3 linked regions of the Schizosaccharomyces pombe genome follow. Each later gene encodes a partner of the first gene's protein in a complex. Each region holds a gene or a part of one and is shown in the gene's direction. Other genes may lie near its edges. The genes, in order: mrp21, bot1 and sws2.

The links.
Region 2: mrp21 (region 1) and bot1 share a complex: the UniProt entries of both Schizosaccharomyces pombe proteins name them as parts of the mitochondrial small ribosomal subunit.
Region 3: mrp21 (region 1) and sws2 share a complex: the UniProt entries of both Schizosaccharomyces pombe proteins name them as parts of the mitochondrial small ribosomal subunit.

The regions. Positions count from the first base shown.
Region 1 is NC_003423.3:614,829-620,951, reverse strand, and holds mrp21 (mitochondrial 37S ribosomal protein bS21m), read left to right. Parts: upstream 1-2,778; 5' UTR 2,779-2,813; coding exon 2,814-2,889; intron 2,890-2,983; coding exon 2,984-3,273; 3' UTR 3,274-3,761; downstream 3,762-6,123. Other genes in the region: ER uridine diphosphate-glucose transmembrane transporter Hut1, read left to right, coding at 1-317; U1 snRNP-associated protein Usp107, read right to left, coding at 413-643, 693-2,530, 2,580-2,598; its8 (pig-N family GPI synthesis protein), read left to right, coding at 4,486-4,636, 4,789-6,123. UniProt on the Schizosaccharomyces pombe protein: Component of the mitochondrial ribosome (mitoribosome), a dedicated translation machinery responsible for the synthesis of mitochondrial genome-encoded proteins, including at least some of the essential transmembrane subunits of the mitochondrial respiratory chain.
Region 2 is NC_003423.3:2,229,922-2,236,311, reverse strand, and holds bot1 (mitochondrial ribosomal protein subunit S45), read left to right. Parts: upstream 1-3,189; 5' UTR 3,190-3,200; coding exon 3,201-4,148; 3' UTR 4,149-4,529; coding exon of another isoform or gene 4,530-4,706; 3' UTR 4,707-4,769; downstream 4,770-6,390. Other genes in the region: SAGA complex subunit Spt8, read left to right, coding at 602-656, 704-2,229; SPOM_SPBC14C8.15 (triglyceride lipase-cholesterol esterase), read right to left, coding at 4,530-4,706, 4,770-5,823, 5,879-5,995, 6,050-6,084. UniProt on the Schizosaccharomyces pombe protein: Component of the mitochondrial ribosome (mitoribosome), a dedicated translation machinery responsible for the synthesis of mitochondrial genome-encoded proteins, including at least some of the essential transmembrane subunits of the mitochondrial respiratory chain.
Region 3 is NC_003421.2:982,681-989,070, reverse strand, and holds the start of sws2 (mitochondrial 37S ribosomal protein uS13m), read left to right. Parts: upstream 1-3,916; 5' UTR 3,917-4,079; coding exon 4,080-4,360; exon of another isoform or gene 4,361-4,430; coding exon 4,431-4,605; 3' UTR 4,606-4,827; coding exon of another isoform or gene 4,828-6,390. Other genes in the region: ura6 (uridylate kinase), read right to left, coding at 1-224; P-factor pheromone Map2, read left to right, coding at 2,387-2,992; vid21 (NuA4 histone acetyltransferase complex scaffold subunit Vid21/Eaf1), read right to left, coding at 4,828-6,390. UniProt on the Schizosaccharomyces pombe protein: Component of the mitochondrial ribosome (mitoribosome), a dedicated translation machinery responsible for the synthesis of mitochondrial genome-encoded proteins, including at least some of the essential transmembrane subunits of the mitochondrial respiratory chain.

The DNA.
Region 1 (6,123 bases):
CTTTTTGCAACCAGCAGCCTTTGTCTTTTATAAACAGACATCCAAGCATCCTTAAAGACATGTTGTTGTTTGCTTGCACAGGTTCTGTCGGTCAATTATTCATTTTCTTCACCCTTGAAAAATTTGGAAGCATAACGCTCGTTACCATTACACTTACAAGAAAAATTTTCACCATGCTTCTTAGTGTTTTTCATTTTCATCACACTGTATCTTCGATTCAGTGGCTTGGTATTTTATTGGTCTTTTTGGGAATCTCCCTAGAAGCCGGCCTCAAAATACTAAACAACAATTCTACTGCGAAAAAAAAGGCATCATAGGTTTGCCTTTATTTTTTTAAAAAAATTTCTTATAAATACATATTACAAACTTTTAATCGTCACCATTAAATAAAAACTTTACCCAAATATGTACGTTATGCTTCAGAACGTAAAATCAGTAGTACATGCAAGTATCGGTATACTTTGCTAACAAACTCTGGAGCATCTTCAGCGAGAGCAAGGTCCAATTCAGACACTAACTGTTCCGCACCTTTATGTTGCCTGATATGATCAATGGTAAATGTGATAAGTGAATCCTCTTGAATACCGATATACTCGATAATTTTCTTGGTAACAAAAGCTTGCATTTCTTCTTTTAGAAGATCCTATAATGTGTTAGTTTAGATACATATAAAAGTTGAAAAAATCACAAACCTCAGTAACCTTGCTCCAGTCAATTGGTAGTGCCCACAGACTTTCTGCTTCAACAGGTATCTTTTCAATAAGTGAACGAAGTCTTTTCGTCTTCTCGGCATCATTTTCTTCCATAGCAGGCTTTGGTTTTTGAGGGTTGGGAGAATAGCCTTGCGGTTCTTCGTCTTCTTCTTCCAAAAGCAGTCTCTCCGGAAGTCCAAATTCTCGTCTTTCAGAAGGAACAGCTGGTTTCTTGGTTTGTATTTTGATTTTGAAGGGACCATTTTCATGTTGAGGCATTTCACTAGTCACCAGCTTACCATTTTCGACATAATTCTCTGTCTCAACGGTTGCACCTTCTCCACGGGTACGTAGTTCTCTTTCTTCCTCCTTTCTGTCAAGAGCATCTGCGTCTTCTTCTCGAGCACGAGCAACTGCACGATGTCTAATCCAAGCAGCACGATCGACAAAATATTCGTCTCGAGATACGCGAGCTTCCTCATCGTCATCAAAAGAAGCTAATTTTTCCGAAAGATAAGTACCAAAGGAAGTGTTATTAACACGTTCTTCTTCTTCACGAGCAGCTTCTCGTTCTAAAGCTGCAGTTCGGGCCTTTTCACGATTCATCCAGCGCCGTTCCCTTGCGTAATACTCTTCAGCCTCCAATTGATCCTTCCTTCTCTTCTCTTCATAATAAGCTTGTTCATCGGAGAACGACTCGGGAATGCTATCTTCTGCTCTTAAAAAGGCATTGACTGTAGACATAGGGATACGTGAAATACGATGTTTTGACAAAAGGTTTTGTAAATCATCATTTTGCTTTCGAAGCTTTTCTTGTTCTTTTCGTGTATACTCTTTATATAAACTGGCATACTCGTCCTTAGACCTTTGTTTTTCTCGTTTTTTCATAGCAGATTGATCGCGAAAGGATCGTATTTCTTCTTCAATAACCGGTAATAATTCAGGATTAATTCCTTCTAAATCAGCAGCATTAATGGGAATTTCCGAAGTTTTGACATTTTGTAGTAATTTTTCGTTTTTCTCTCGGGCCTGTCGAGCTGCCCTTTCAATGCGAGAACGGACATCAAAATTGCCTATATCTTGACAAATTCTTTCGAGGTTAAAGCGAATTTGCTGTAAAATGTTTATCTCTTTCTGCTTATTTCTTGCATAACGACTCGTTTGCCATTCACGATACAATCCCTCATTCTCAACATCTGTAATCAATGACAAGCGAGTTGAAGGACCACCTTCGTACAAAGGTGGAACAACAAAATCATTTAATGCTTCTAATGCTCTACTGAATTGTTCATTTGATTCAAACTCTGCAAATCCAAACGAAGTCATCGAGTTATCTGCATCAGCAACCCTTCGCCAAGAAGCCAGCTTCCCGGACAATCGAAGAATTTTATCCATCCAAAAATCATCCAATTCTTTCGGTATATTACCAATAAAGAGCATCCGCCGCATTTGTTGACTATTTGGAGGGACAAACGGCCGCGATTCCCTTTCTGTTGTAGACTTCTCTGAAGAAGGTGTTTGAAACGTCTGTTTCTCCTGAATCTCATTACTTTTTTGATTTCGGGGTAAGTTTTTTCTATCTTTTTGTTGCGATTCATTATCTCTTAAAACTTGTTTTATGGGAAGTTTACCAAACTTCAGAATTGGCTGCGAAAAATCATAGGGACTACTTGCCTCAACAGGATTATCTACCAAAAAAGCGCCTTGGCCATACAATTTTTTGTATAAGCTCCTGTAATCAGGAGGTAAAGGGGCGAATACAGGTTGGATTGGGACGACATATGGAACGCCGTTGCCAACCATAGGAACCTGTGGCATCATTGGCATACCGGCAGCCTCTAAATAAAATTAGATAAATTCTTTAGCAATGAAATTGAAATTACTTACGCGTATTCTGCCGCTGCATAGTTGTTGGAGGAAAACAGATTCATGTGTATCATGTAAAGGTATATAGTGAAGTGTAAATGTGATTATCCTATTTTTAGTTTATGAATTTTATGTCTTTTACGCTAATGCAAAAAATCGATGTTCAAGGCAATTTAACGAATTCTTTATGCAGTTGTACTGCGGTGAGATTCAGGCTTCTCAAATTGCCAAGAAAACGCAAAATAACTATTTAAAATGAACAGTTCTTATTTCCCAGGTGTTCTAGGGGTCAGATGGGTACATACAAATAGGAAATTGCAAAAGAGAAAAGGTACGAAGAAAATCCATTGAAGTTGCTATTGTCTTTCAAGAATATGATTTTCGATTGTTGGATTATTGTCTGCTAATACTTTATTGATATTTAGAGGAGCATGGTGCGTTCCAAGATTCGCTTCATTTTATGATACCCGCAGCAGAAACAAAAGATTTAGGTGCAAGTGTGACAGTTGGAAATAGTCTAACAAGAGCATTTCGACAAGTTGATAGAATATGTCAAAGGAATAATGTGCCAAGGCTATTCCGTTCACAGAGATTTTATGAAAAACCATCCGAAAAGCGATCCCGCGTTCGTTCAGAAAGACACAGGGCAAGGTTCCGCGCTGGAATTGTTCGACTTGTAAACTTAGCAAAGAACATGCGTCGTTGGGGTTATTGAGTGATTCTTCGAACATTTCATTCTATTTCTTGGTTACGAAAATCCATATTAAATTAATGTATTTGGAGATCGTTGTTCTCATAGCTTTTCATTTAAGACGAGAATGCTCGAAAACCCCCTTTTGAAGTAAAATAATATATTGCTTTTTACTTCTCCGCGGATTTAAGAGCTAGACATTTTTGGGAAATATTCGTTTTTTGTTTTGTCATTTCTAAATTTTTCCTGGTATCTTTGCTTAACCCCTCCCCTATCTTATGATTTTCTACTTAACAGGATTTATTGTCTAATAACTGTCTCTACCTTCTTTTATCTTTTCAGTTTGACAATACTGCGAGATTGAGCTTAATGTTTGCATTACCCTCTAATATTACTATTCTGTTTTGCTAGCCTATAACAATTTTCTTAGTTAAATCGATGAGTTTGTTACTCTATTTATTCAAACTAATGCTGGTCGCAGGAAGTTATTACTTCTGCATGTTATAATAAATGAATTCGTTTCCTTTCGTATTGCAAATGATTTTTTTATTATTGGCCATGTAGCAGCAATTTGATGGTTGTATCCCTTTATCTTATTATAATCGTCATGAGTAAACCGACTCTCAACGTGTAACAACCAAATATGCTTACCGCTGAATTTTCATTAATCTTGGATTTGAGCAATGAAATGATAACCATCCATTTTACATTTCTGTCAACGGAAATTAAAATAATACCGAAAATATCCATTTACAGAATCATTTTTTGCTTAATTACCAGATGACTATAAGTCCCATTATTGTGCACTGCATACCATAAAGTAATTTATCACTTCCTTAATAGATTTCTGATTATTTACTCTTTCATCCAGCTAGAACTAATTACGCATATTGGCCATAGCTCACAATATACGATGGAGCGCTACCACTATTCATTAGTGCATTCAAACACGGCATCCTTAATTACAAAACTCAGTATACATTCATTAGCGTTCGCTTATTCATTAGATCGAGCGTAGATCATCTGAATTTTAACCAATGGTAGATTAAAGGGGACTTCTGTTGATGTTTGTAACGACTCAACACTCAAACGCACTTCACCAGAACAAAACACTTCTTGCCTTGTTTAGGGCATCCTTCTTTTCCAAGAAGCGTCCTGGCATCTATCCAATTTTTGCCAAAAACCCCTAGTATTCCCAGTCAATTGTGGTAGTGGTTTCACGCTTAAATTTTCGCAATGTTTGGTCGCCTCTTGCTGTTAGGGATTTTATTCCATGTCGTCTTTCTCAAATCCATTTTTGATATCTATTTCGTAACTCCTCTAATACATGGCATGAAGCAGTATTCTGCAGGCGAAGCTCCTGCTAAACGCCTATTTCTAATTGTTGGTAAGTAAACATTTGTAATAGTGAAATTAGTGTATAGAGCTTAATGAAAAAAATGTCATATTTTCGTTTTGGATTTAGAAAAAAAAACAAGAAATAGTACAACTTTTTTCTTGTCCTTCTTTTTCTTATTTTACTAACCAATATGCTTATAGGCGATGGACTACGTCCTGATAAACTATTACAACCACATTCCGAAAAGGTCATTGGAGAAGAGCAGACATATGCCGCTCCATTTTTAAGATCAATTATTCAGAATAACGGTACTTTCGGTGTTTCTCATACTCGTGTTCCCACCGAGTCACGCCCCGGACATGTTGCTCTAATAGCTGGTTTTTACGAAGATGTTTCAGCCGTCACAAAAGGCTGGAAAAAAAATCCAGTAAATTTCGATTCTGTGTTTAATCAGAGTCGGCATACTTATTCGTTTGGATCCGAAGATATTTTGCCTATGTTTAGTGAAGGTGCATCTGATCCATCTCGAGTTGATACATTCATGTATTCTTCTGAATTGGAGGATTTCTCTAGCAACGGAATTGTTCTTGACGAATGGGTTTTTGATAGGCTAGATGAACTTCTCGCTCAGTCTTTAGAGGATAAGGAACTTTGGGATATGTTGCATCGGGATAAAATAGTATTCTTCCTTCATTTACTGGGCATTGACACAATTGGCCATAATAAACACCCTGACTCAGTTGAATATGTCGAAAACATACAGTATATAGATGGAAAAATTCAAGAACTCGTTGATAAGATGAACAACTACTACAATAACGACGGAGCCTCTAGCTGGGTTTTTACAGCAGACCATGGTATGAGTGACTTTGGAAGTCATGGTGATGGCAACCTTGATAATACACGTACTCCCATCATTGCCTGGGGTGCTGGTATTCAAAGTCCTACTCATGAGAAGAATTATGGGCATGACGAGTATTCTTTGCCATGGAATTTGACGGAGATAAAACGTATTGATATACAACAAGCAGATATTGCAGCTTTAATGTCTTACCTTGTCGGTTTAAATTTTCCTGTGAATTCCGTGGGTCAAATACCCTTGGATTATCTTGATTGCTCTTCTCGCCGCAAAGCTGAGGTTGCCTTAATGAATGCTTTAGAAATTGGTGAACAATATAATTTAAAGTCTGCCTCAAAGGATCAAACTAGTATTTTCTTTCGCCCATATTCTCCTTTGAGGAACTATACAGAGGTACAAGCATCCTTTTACAACTCAGTTATTGCTGACATAGAATCTGGTGAATATGAAATTGCTATTGAGCATTGTTTCCACTTTAGCCAAACGGTTCTTTCTGGACTACGTTACCTACAACGTTACGATTGGCTTCTTCTTCGATCTATTGTTTTCTTTGGTTATTTGAGTTGGATTGGATATGTCATATGCTTTGTCTTCAGCTTAAACATAGAACCATCCTCCAAAATAGTAAAGCCTGTTTCCGTCGTCAAGAGAGTCGCATTTAATATTCCTTTTTTGT
Region 2 (6,390 bases), 1.6 Mb from region 1:
TATTTTACGGTCAATTTCAATATTTCTTTAGTTAAAAGTTACTAAATTTTTGACTGCTTGCAAGCCCCAGAGGTTATAAGTTTAATAGATCACTTACAAGTTTGTTAAAACACATATTCTAATACTTGATTTTTCAACATACCTGCCATAAGTATCAATCTTTTTGTTGTTTCTTAGTACGGGCGACGTGAAACCATAAAAGTAGTATACTGGGTGCTACGGCGAATAACAGAAATATGTTTCCAAAGAGAAAGTGCTTCCTATTTTTTCTATGAAAGTAGATTGATTATAAAAAACAAAGTTTACCTTGTCAAACTTCCCCATTCATTTACCTAATGTTCATTGCGGAATAGTGTTTTCTCTCGCTACTTATTTATCTTAAACGAAATAAGGATCGTTTAGTTGTACTCTAATGGTAACATTCAGTGAAACTTAAGACTTTATTAAAGCTTTTTATTGAGGTATAGCGTCTACGCTAAATATATTCAACGGTCTTAAACTTATAATTCCTTTTAATATCTCAGAGGGAACGTAAACAAAACATATTGTTGCTGCATTGCAGCATTTTAAGGTTACAACTCTTTTTGTGTATATTTTAAAGATGGAAGCAGAAGAGAGTGAGTCCTTTTCATATCCAATGTTGCTACCTTCTGACGGTTCGTTTTATAAACGAGATATCACTTCTTACTGACTTCAAATCTAGGACTTTATCCAGAAGACGATGATGATGCGGATATGGATCAGGATAAAAATCCTGAAGAAAATGTAATGAACGAAAAAGAAGATGAGGATGTAGACGCGGTTGATGAGAAGTCCGGTGAAGAAGACGTGGAGATGGATACAATGGAAGATGAAAACGAAAACGATGAAGATACTGAGCAAACCTCTGAAAAGAAGGAAACTGAAGAAACACCAAAGGAAAATCCACTTGAGAAATTAAAACAAAAGGCTTCAACGGCCAGCTTTTATGATGTGGTGCCTACCCTGGCAATCCCTATGGCTACCAGCATAAACGCATTTGCTTTCACATCGGATTTAAAATGGCTTTTCACTGGTGGGGAAGACGGATATATAAGGAAGTATGATTTTTTTCCTAGCATTAATGGTGATCTCTCCCTGACTGTTGCACAGAGACATCCCTTTGTGGATACAGTAACGAAGGCTGGAATATTACTCAACTACTGGGAGAATGCTTACGATGGAAATAAACCATCTTCGGTATATAGCCTTGCAGCTCATTCCAGAGGTCTTTGGGTTCTTTCGGGCGTCAATAATGGAGATATTATACTGTACTCTACAAGACATCAAGAGGGTTATCCCGTTACTTCTTTAAAAAAGCATACGGCTCCTGTTTCGTGTTTAGCATTACATGGTTCCGAGAAAAAAGTATTGAGTGGAAGCTGGGACAAAATGGTTTATTACTGGGACCTTAACACTGGTGATGCAATATCTACATACAATTGTGAGAGTGGTCAAATTTCGAATATAGTTTATCGTCCATCAGGCGCTGTAAATCCTTGGGGTTCTGAATCGGACGACATGCGTAGTTTGTTCGGTACACCTGCGTCTTCCTCTTCTTACGATGCACTGTTTGATGAAGAGGTGGAAAAAGCCATTGAAGAAGAAACTAAATCTGTTCAAGCAAATGAGGAGAACGAGACAGAAAAACCCTCTCAAACCGAATCTACTACTAACAATGACAACATAAAAGCTCCTTCCGAATCTTCATCCGAAGAGTCCAATATTTTCTTAACGACGTCTATAGATGGAGTTATGAATGTATGGGACCATCGCATGGTCGATTCTGTTCTCAAATACCCCGTCCCCAAGGGTGTACCACCATGGGCTATGTCTGCATGTTGGAGTCCGGATGGAAATAATATATATATTGGCCGCCGAAATGGAATCGTCGAAGAATATAACATTCACTCTGGCAAGGAGCCTGTTCGCTCTTTAAAAATGCCTCTCGATTCGGGTCCTGTTTCAAATGTCTATTCGATGCCGAATGGCCGTCACCTTGTAATTTCCTCCTTTGATAATATCCGCCTTTATGATCTTCAAAGCAAGGCCGGCATAGGGTTCTTAATTATTCCAGGTCATCATGGAGGTCTTGTCAGTTCGCTTTATGTAGACACTTCTTGTCAATTCATGTTTTCAGCTAGTGGAAATCGAGGATGGCAAGGAACTACTACTGAAGTGTTCCTCGGATACCAAATAATGACTTCATAAAATGCTTTCTCTAAAACACATATTCGCAATAATGTACATTATGATAATAGACTGAAAGGAAGTGGGTTACGATTTAGTCGGTCAAATACAAAATGGTCTTTGAAAGGCACTTTGGATTTTGCCTTAGTAGGGTCAATTATATGCCTATTGTCGTTTAACTTTAAAAATCTTTTTGAATTGTCTCCCTTTCAACATTTGAAATAAACATCTCAGTTAAAGTTTTTAGAATAATTGTTAAGCCCATGCACTCTTCATTAGTTGATTGCTTTTTGGGTTTTTGGTTACTCTCTAAATAATTTGAGGTAAGTTTATAAATGTTTCCTTAAACCTATTTCCCCTTTTTTGCCGAATATAATAAACTTAGGTATTAAGCTGAGATTGTTGGTTATGAACTTTCTGACAAATATGATACACAAATCGTTTTGTTTGTATAACATGTATTCTAAAACTTTCCTCTACTTTAATTTTCAATTTGGAATTTCCTAATCAATTTAATGCCATCCATCCGCTTTATTATTTGTTGATGTGTCAATTGCCAAACAAAAATATCAAGGACATGCGAAACTCTTGTCTAAAGAAGCAATGACCGTATTTAATGAATTTTTTTCGTTTGATTCTGTAGAAATTATGACTTAAATTGTGTATTTATTTTTTAAGTATTGATGTGTATAACTGTTCGTATCCTAATATTGGAACTGACTCTCAAACATTCTATAGAATAAACAAAATCTTACTTTATTGCATACTGAGAGTTATTGTCTCATAAATAAATCAAGCGTCTGTATGTTAATCGGATCTTATAATGGAGCTAGATTGCTTGACCGCCGGAGGTTAAATTTGAGTTTTCCTAAATCGTCTCATTAATTATTGGTTTTTTGAAGTTTATTTTCTATATCTATCTTGATGAATAGAATTAGGGCGTGTTACTAACTTTTGGGGAGTGACACAAGAAACCTTTCCAACGCACCTAAATGAGGAATTCAGTGGAATTCTCACAGTTAGGGCTTAAAACGGCTTTTAATTTATCTCAAAATAAAACTTATACCTCAGCAGTCAAGAAACAATTCTTTAGTACTGGAGCATTTTTAAGCAATGGGGGAAATATTGATTTAAATAAACACACTCAAAAGAACATTGATTCAAAGTACGTTGCTTGCAACTCAAGATCTGTAACACCCCCAAATGATGTTGCTTCTTCAGTTTCTAAGAATACACTTCGTCATAAACAACGTTTAATGATGGCTCAATGGTTAATGTCTCCCGAAGTACAGAAAGCAAAGTCCTCATCATCTGGTAATGTAGGCTTGGGACCTAATACAAATCAGCCCTTCCCTTTAAACCCTTTTTTTAAGCCTCCTAGGCCTATATCTCATTCTTTGCGTATGAAAATTACCGATGAATACTTGCAGGGTGCAAGTATAGAAGTGCTTGCTCGAAAATTCAACACATCTCCACAAAGGATTGAAGCTCTTATAAAGTTGAGAAGAATAAATGATGAATTCGAAGAAAAAAAGAAGCCGATTCTTCATAGTTATAATGAAGTTATGGAGAAAATGCTGAACGCATGTACTAAACCTGAGATGATGCAGTTTAATGACGGAAACGATATTCCTTTGCGTTCCAATCCAGTATCCCTTTGGAAGAGTTTGCCTGAGGGAGAAACGTTTACACCTCAAGAGGCTGCTAAAATCCTGAAGTGGCCTTCGATTGAGGAATTAAACATGAGACAAAACGCTACTCACTTCCACAAAACATCTGATGAGCACAAAGATTTGAATGAAGATGAAGAGCTAATTTCTTCAAGCCCCAGCGAAGTTGGGAAGCGTGTTTTTAGGCTCATTGATCTTTCTACTGGTAATGTGTATAGAAGGGATACCGGCGGGGATATTTATGTTAAGAGAAAAAAATCTACTACCTGAAAATCAAGCATTTATTTCCCGTTTTTGAAAGAAAATTTACCCCCTTAGCATGCATTAGCGGCAGTACAATCCATTTCAAACTTTTGCGAAATAAAATCTTGAATTGTTACAAATTCACTCAGCAAATTCTTCTAGTTGTTGCATTATCTAAAAGTTATTTGTACATATAAAAATTGCATAGTTTTTTTTGCTTTCGTTGCCATATTGACTTTTTCAAATTAAACAAAGAAACTTTTTTTAGCCGTTTAATACAAATACTGATAAGAAGGGTTGCACATACGATGAAACAGTCTATACAACACTGTGCTTCAGTTTGATTTAGAACAGAAACTTATCTAACATATTAAATATACATTGTGCCAGTTTCAGAAGCGATGAACACTATATTGTATGGTTCATAACGCCGTCAACCAATTCTGTGTCAAGTCCAAATTCTTCTTTTATGCTTTCAAAGTAATCTCCAGCAATGACATGATTTAGTTGTTCTACGACTTGCTGAATTACTATGTCCTTTTTCGTATCTCCCATGATGATGTCGAGATGCTCATAGTTAGGAATCTTTAATTTTAACTTGTTAGTTTCCACTTAAGTAAATGAAGCTACAACTGTTTCAGAACATACCTGAATGCATTGAGATAATGGTGGAAGTTGGGTCTTGAGTGTTTCAATGTCCACCATGTTATCGTTACTGCCATAAACTAAAGTAATAGGTAGACGTATATTTTCAATCGGATAGCGAGCAATTCGGTTAAGATTTGTATAGTAACTTGGCTTAAATCCTGGACTGTCATCGTACATTTGTAATACTTTGCGACGCGTAATTTGAGCCCAATGTACAAAGCATTTGACAGAAGTAAAGGAATATAGATGGGAGTATGCAACGATTTTCTGAGTTTCGGAAATATTTTTTCCGGTCCAGCTCAGAAAAAAGCGAAGAAACAGATCAACAATTTTTGCAAAAACTGGCGGATATAAAACTGCTTGCCAAAACACAGCAGAACCAAGCATGGAATTTCGACCGAACATTAGGTAAAGAAGTTGGCTATTAGCGTGAATAATAGATTTAACGGTTCTACCACTATACTTTTTAGGAGCAATTGCAGGAGCTAGAGCAATAAATGCTCGTACGGAATTGCGAAGTTCAGTATCAATAGACAGCGCTGCAAATGCTAATATAGCGCCCTGAGAAAATCCAACAAGGCTTATAGAATCAAAACTGTTAACGGACAGTATATATTTAACAATGGAAGGTATGTCAAAAATAGCGATACTATCAAGACTGAAATCCCAAAACTTTGGATTTTGAGAGCTGAATTTGATATTCTTTATACTATATTTGTTTCCTCGTAAGTTTCCAAGCCAAACATCGTATCCTTGTTCCACAAGAGCAAATGGAATGGCATCTTCCTTTTTCAAGTTGCAGACCCAACTTTCAGAGTTCATCATTAGCCCATGAATAAATAATACAGGTGGGAGATAATTTAACTCTTCAATTTTTCCTTTTTTCTTTTTATACACCCGATGCAAGCCAAGCAAGTAGCCATCAGTTGTACGAACAAAGTGTTCTTCCAGATCATACCCATGAAGTGCACATAAATCGATGGTATCTCTTGCATCAGTTAATTTATTCGCGTTATCATCTACCAACAATTCAGGCAAAAAGTACGAGTATACTCTGCAAACCCCGAGGTTAGTATCAGTGACAATGGTATAAGTAATAGCTGACTCACTTTTTTGATTGCTCATAAAACCAATTCCGAAGTGGACTAGGTAAAATAACTGTACATATTCGAAACATGCTCTCCAACGCAATCAGTAAAAAACTGATTAAAATTTCCCCCTTTTCTCTAAAAACAAATGTTAGAATTTTCGTAAAATAGCAAATACAGAGAGCAACTAACAAGCAATATTTCATTATATTTCCATTCAGAGTCATTTTAGTTTTTTAATTAGCGATAAATTCTCAACTTTTGATAGATTATAACATTTGGATTCATATGGCGTTTGCGTAATTCAACTTGCCTATACTACCATGAGCAGCTTCTAACAAAAAACGGTCGCTTTGTAATTGAAATATTTTACGAGTTTTCGGGTATAATAAGTATTACAGATATATTCAAATATGTTCTTTTAAATTTAATTATTCCCAAAAATCCCCATTGCACTAATTTGTTATGAAAGACATTCAATTCTAGGATTTGTAAGTTAAATGCGAGCAAGATTTAACCAAACAATTTTTGAA
Region 3 (6,390 bases), on another chromosome or scaffold:
TTAGTCTCTAAAAGGGATATAGTTATTTCCATGGGCACAATTTTACCATCTTTGATATATTCTTTAATAAGGTTTCCGTATTTGCTGCCAGGACGATTTTGCTCTTCGCGTAGACAATCTCCAGCGCTAATATGTACGAATTTGTCAAATTTCTCGGCCAAACGATCGCATTGTGTACCCTTTCCAGCACCAGGACCGCCTAAAACAAAAATCACGTTATACATTGTCTACAACACATTAGTAAATTGGGAATGCTGGTTATAAAATAAGGAATGAAATGAGCACACAAGTTCCTTTTTTTTTCTCTTCTCAAATGTTTACGCGTTTGTGTCACAGTCGTAAAAAAAAAAACCTTTTAAAGAATGTAACGATGAAATTACTGTCTCAATAACCAACGCAACCAGAAACACACTAACCCATACCAATAAGGATTTGCAAAATAGGTGAAACACTATTTGAGCGGGTAAAAAAGTGTTGGAGAATTAACTTTTTCATGTTTCTTTCAGCATGAGTCTTCAAAAAGGCATCCGTTTGCACTAAAATGGAAGAGGAAAAAAATTTCGACATTTACGCTACATACCTATTTAATTTATGGTCTGAGTGGAAAAACAGTAAAAAAATAGAAAAGCGCGCTAAAACAAATTAATATACAAGGAGACTTTGTACTGTTGAAGTATATGGAGTCTACTCGTACAATAATACAGTAGTATGTTGTAAGCAACTTTGAACACGAATCTAAACGCAACCAACAACTTAAGATGGAAGAGCCAAAACATATGGATGGGCCGCGGAATAACCGCGGCCCATGCCCTGAGCAGAATAGAAAAAAAAGATTTTTTTTTTCTTTCATAAAATTAAAAAATTCAAGACAATGTATGAATAAGAACCTCTCGATCTAGCATCCAACCTATAAATGAATATCTCTGTTGCATGTTTGCTATATTGAAAATGTCGCTAAGGAGTATCGAGATCCCAGATTAGAGAAGCGTTTACCATGAGTTACAGAATCCTTTTATTACACCAATTCTTAAATCATCTCCAGTCTATAGCCGCAAGTATTGCAAACGTTGGATTTTGCGATCAATGCTTTCCATTTAACGCGCTAAAGCAATTTAACAAATACAATGGTATAGCGCGAAGTCATAATAAAGGAGTAAAATTATATTAAACAGTTTATTAGTATAATGATATGGTTATATGACTTTAGAACGAAAGGAAGCATGTTAACGCCGAAAAGAATTAAAAAAGCTGTAAAGAAGCAGCAGTTTATTCGTTATTTTCACCAATCCTTTTACTAAAACCTTTTCGAAATGTACTCTTATTTTTTGAAGGTATAATGAAAAGGTGGGATTCTCGGAACTAGCACTACTATGGTTTTAGCAAGCCCTGATTCTCATGTTCGAGGGAAAAAAAGCACTAATGGTATCAAACAATTTCCTACTATCATATTACTATCCTTTCCTTGGAAATTAAATGCTAGCAACGGCAATCCTTTGTACTTTCTCCGTGCACAATATCTAGTACACCAAATACTGGCCCACTAGTCGGAGGGGAACGGGTATTTGTTTATTCTCCTCTTTTTTGCGTGCTCCATCTCCTTTGAAGCTCTATTTTAGTTGCTTTGCAGTATCTATATCTGCTACAAGTAGCCAGAGGCGTTCTATGCCTTCAATCTGAAGTTCATTTTTTCATTCTATGGCGGTATGCTATTGGTTGAGTACACACAAAGAACAATGGATAGAGTTTTATTGTTTACATTATCAAAAAACCTTTAACCAATAAAAAAAATAGCCGCTACCAGAAAAAAGTCGCTTAAAATTAATAAGTCTTTTGATTGGTCGCTGTACATAGAAGTTCATTTTGGGTGGACGACAAAAAAATAAGCGAATATCTTCAACCAATCAGGATAAACAGCGATAAAACGAAAACGGGGAAGTCATTAAAAAATGGCGGTTAATGTCAACAATGAACAGTTTGAAAGCATAGAATTCCAGATTTGAATTGAGGGAAACGGAGCACTACAAAGATGTATAAATACAGGCATTCTGTCCCAGAAGAAAACCAGAATTCGTTCAAGTCTTCTATTTTACATATTCACTCTTTCTATTTCTTATTCTTCACTCTACAAGAACTCGCGTTGGGTGTGAATTTACATCCCTCTTGTCAACAAACCTGCTCCGTTAGCTAATTTTCTGTAAATTTGCTTCGATCTTTCTTATTCTAATCTTTTAATCCTTTTTCTTTTGGAATTTTGCCTTTTTAAACTCTCCCTTTTTTTGAATCAGTCAACAAATTATAATTTTCTTCTTTTATTTGCTAGTTCATCGCTTAAACTATCTTTCTTTTTCTAACTTATCAACGAAATTTTATTTTTTTCACATACATTATGAAGATCACCGCTGTCATTGCCCTTTTATTCTCACTTGCTGCTGCCTCACCTATTCCAGTTGCCGATCCTGGTGTGGTTTCAGTTAGCAAGTCATATGCTGATTTCCTTCGTGTTTACCAAAGTTGGAACACTTTTGCTAATCCTGATAGACCCAACTTGAAAAAGCGCGAATTCGAAGCTGCTCCCGCAAAAACTTATGCTGATTTCCTTCGTGCTTATCAAAGTTGGAACACTTTTGTTAATCCTGACAGACCCAATTTGAAAAAGCGTGAGTTTGAAGCTGCCCCAGAGAAGAGTTATGCTGATTTCCTTCGTGCTTACCATAGTTGGAACACTTTTGTTAATCCTGACAGACCCAACTTGAAAAAGCGCGAATTCGAAGCTGCTCCCGCAAAAACTTATGCTGATTTCCTTCGTGCTTACCAAAGTTGGAACACTTTTGTTAATCCTGACAGACCCAACTTGAAAAAGCGCACTGAAGAAGATGAAGAGAATGAGGAAGAGGATGAAGAATACTATCGCTTTCTTCAGTTTTATATCATGACTGTCCCAGAGAATTCCACTATTACAGATGTCAATATTACTGCCAAATTTGAGAGCTAAACTCATTTTATCTTCATATTTTTTTTATTTTCTAGTATGTTAGCCCACACATCTTTACAAAGCCATGTGAAGCAATTTTTTAAATTAATTGCTATTTTCGATCTATTATTTTACCATACGATCTGTATTCCTATTCGCAATAATATTTTTAATTTTCATCTTAGTCTTCATATTGTAAAAAAAAAAAAAAAAAAAAAAAAAAAAAAAGAAAAAACGTATAGTAGTTACAATATTACTGAAATCTACAGTACTATACTTCTTTCAGTTGCTTTGTTTTTTAAAGTTAAATAAAACATCAATTTAAAAACTGACTATTAAACCACATGATTTGCGGATTGCTTAAGTAATAATAAAAATGAACACTACCAATTGTGTTAAGCGATAAAATTAGTCATATCCCATATAAGAAGAAAGCACTGAAGTTTCAATTGAAATGCGGAAAGCTACTGCTCATTTAAAATGCCTAGGACCTGCACAAGCATAGCAATGTAAAGGAGCTGCACTTGAAATATATATGACAGTTGAGATCCGCAAAGCATTGTTAGAATATATAAAATTTTATTCCAAAACTTTTTACTGTACTTCCGCATGTACTGTTGAACATTCAACTTTGTAAGAGACAGTAATGTCGTGAATATATTTTTCAATAATAAATTTTAAACTGAGACCATTGAACGAAGGGATCATTTGAGTTCATAAATTTTAAAATTTGAACAGAAAAGGAAGGCCTTTGACGATATCTCTTCTTTATTTGTTTTTCTTCGTCTTACCTTGCCCTATTTATGGTCTTCTTAAACATCAAATTACACCTTAGATAGTAGCTCTTTAATGATTACTCAAATTGTCTTTTATTACTAGGCCCGGAGTCTGTACAATCTAACTAGTTTTCTAAAAATATGAGAGATCCAACTGTGTATTATATCTAAACACCACCACTCCACTCTTTTACAAGAAAGCCTAATACTTATATTCAGAACGGTTTTAAGCTCTCTGATTACTGATAGAGAACTGAATTACAAAACCAAATTGTCCACTTCATTATTGAGCTGGTTTCTGTCTCATCTGTTGATATCTGAGATTTTGCATCATGGTATACATACTTGGAGTGGCTGTAAACGACGATAAACCTGTGCGGTTTGCTCTACTTTCTTTTTATGGAATTGGACATGCCAAGGCTGAAGAAATATGCGCAAAATTATCATTTCACAATACGTTAAGGGTTCGAGAGCTGACAAATGTTCAATTGACAACGTTGTCGCAACTGCTATCAGGAATGACTATTGAAGGTGACTTACGGCGTCAACGGAATGCTGATATCTCAAGATTGGTGAATATCCGATGCTATCGGGGAATGAGACATGTAAACGGGTATGAAAAGATCATTTGTGAACGTAGCTGTCTTCGACAACTTTTTCAACTTAACTAATGAATATTTCAGGTTACCCGTTAATGGACAGAACACTCGGACGAATGCAAAGACTGCTAAGAAGCTAAACAAAGTCCCACGACGAGGTTATATGACACTGTCGCCCGCTTCTACAAGGCCCATCACATGGAGTTTTTGTCTACCGAGAATGGTGTCTGTCTTTCAAAAATTAAAACATATTCATTAGCTAAAATAACGTTTATGAAATCAAACTTCACTTATCATGTACACTTCGTATTACCTCGATTTGCTTGATTCTGTTAAAAAACCAACAACCGGGATACGAAAATGAAAACGTATTCTATTTTTATTGTGTGAGAGAAAAAGCTCTCGCCTCGTAATTTCCTTCTAATATACAACAGCACTCAAAAAAAATACAATAAATCGAAAAATTGCATTGAGGCGATACTTACTGTGTCCTTTCAGTAGTAGGTACAGTTTGCTTCCTTTGCTGCAACTGATGAATTTGTTCAGGTGTTAGTTTTAAAGAACTGGAAACAGCGTATGGCTGAAGCCTGGGGACCATTCTACCAGCTATAGGCGAGACACCCGCTGATGAATTGTTACTACTATTTTGTGAAGCAGCTACAGCTTGAAAGGCTGCTAGTTGCTGGTTGTGTTGTTGTGCACCAGCAGCAACAGCGGCGTTTTGCGGCCGTAGAGCCCTGTTTTGTGATTGCAATTGTGCAAAGTTTCTCTGAGCCTGTATTTGCTGTATTTGTGCCTCACGCTCAGATTTCAAACGAGAAAGTTCGAGAGGGGAAGGAACCGGCGGCAATTTTTCAGTTGAAGCTGCAGATGGTGCAATCGCTCTCTTGGTCATAGTGGGTTTTTTAGCAAACTCTCTCTTTTTAAGGATCTTTCGTATAGCTTCAAATATAGTAATGGGTCGGTAATGTCTTGATACAGTTGGCAATAAGAAGTAAGAATTATGTTTAATCAAATGGTTAGGTGTTCCTTCATCCCGTAAGGATAGATGTTGGCTAACTTTATCCGAATGTCTTAAGGATTCATCTAATTTCTGCTGAGCGAGTCTTGCATGGGAGCCAGTCAATTGGACATTGGCGGCTCTGGGATCCACTTGAATCCATCTTTCAAAACAATCCCACGCAGTCCGCTTCTCGGCAAGCGGTATGTACAAACCTGGTGGTGTTAACCTACTGGCAACAAATTCCCAATTAAAGGAATATCGTCGCAAGAGTAATAAAAGGAGTTCATCTTCTTCGGGCAACCAAGGGGCTTCTGGACGAATATCTTTACTAGAAGGCGGATACGGAGGCCGCACACTAAAGGTTCCTACTGAGGATAGCTTCTGATTATCATCCTTAATTTTATTTCCATCTAGCTGGTTCTCATCGCTTCTCGCCTTCTTTTCCATAAACGACTCAGGTGGTGATAATTCCAATTGGTTGAACAAACGTTTCCTAGAAGCCTTTGCACAGGTGGATTTAAGCTTTGTTTTGGCATATGCAAAACGTGACACAGGAGTGATCGGGTACTTTTCAGATATTTCTTCACAATATTCATTGTTTTCAGTAGGAGGACCGTACATAGGAACGTTTAAAACGCAGTTCTGAATTTGTTCGGAGTTTGTTGTCACAAATATATCATCCGAAAAAACAGCATTATAAAACTGTAAAGAATCCCTGGGAATAGAGAGCACTTTGTTGTTATTATTATCATTTAGATTAAAATGGCTCACTATTTGTTCATTAAACGTTTCCTCGTGAGAGTCTTTCTGATGTTCATTCTCTTGCATGTACGGCTTCTTATTCTTTGACAACGAAGCCGGAGTACAAACAGTACATTTATCACTAGCTTGATGGTAATCCATTACCCAATTCGCCATTCTATGAGCCAATATAATTTTCCATTTACGCTCTTGAGAAAAATCAATTGACATCCATTGCATCTCATCCAAAACATAATCCCGATGAGTTTTCAATCGTGGCATCTCGTTTTGTCTTTTGGG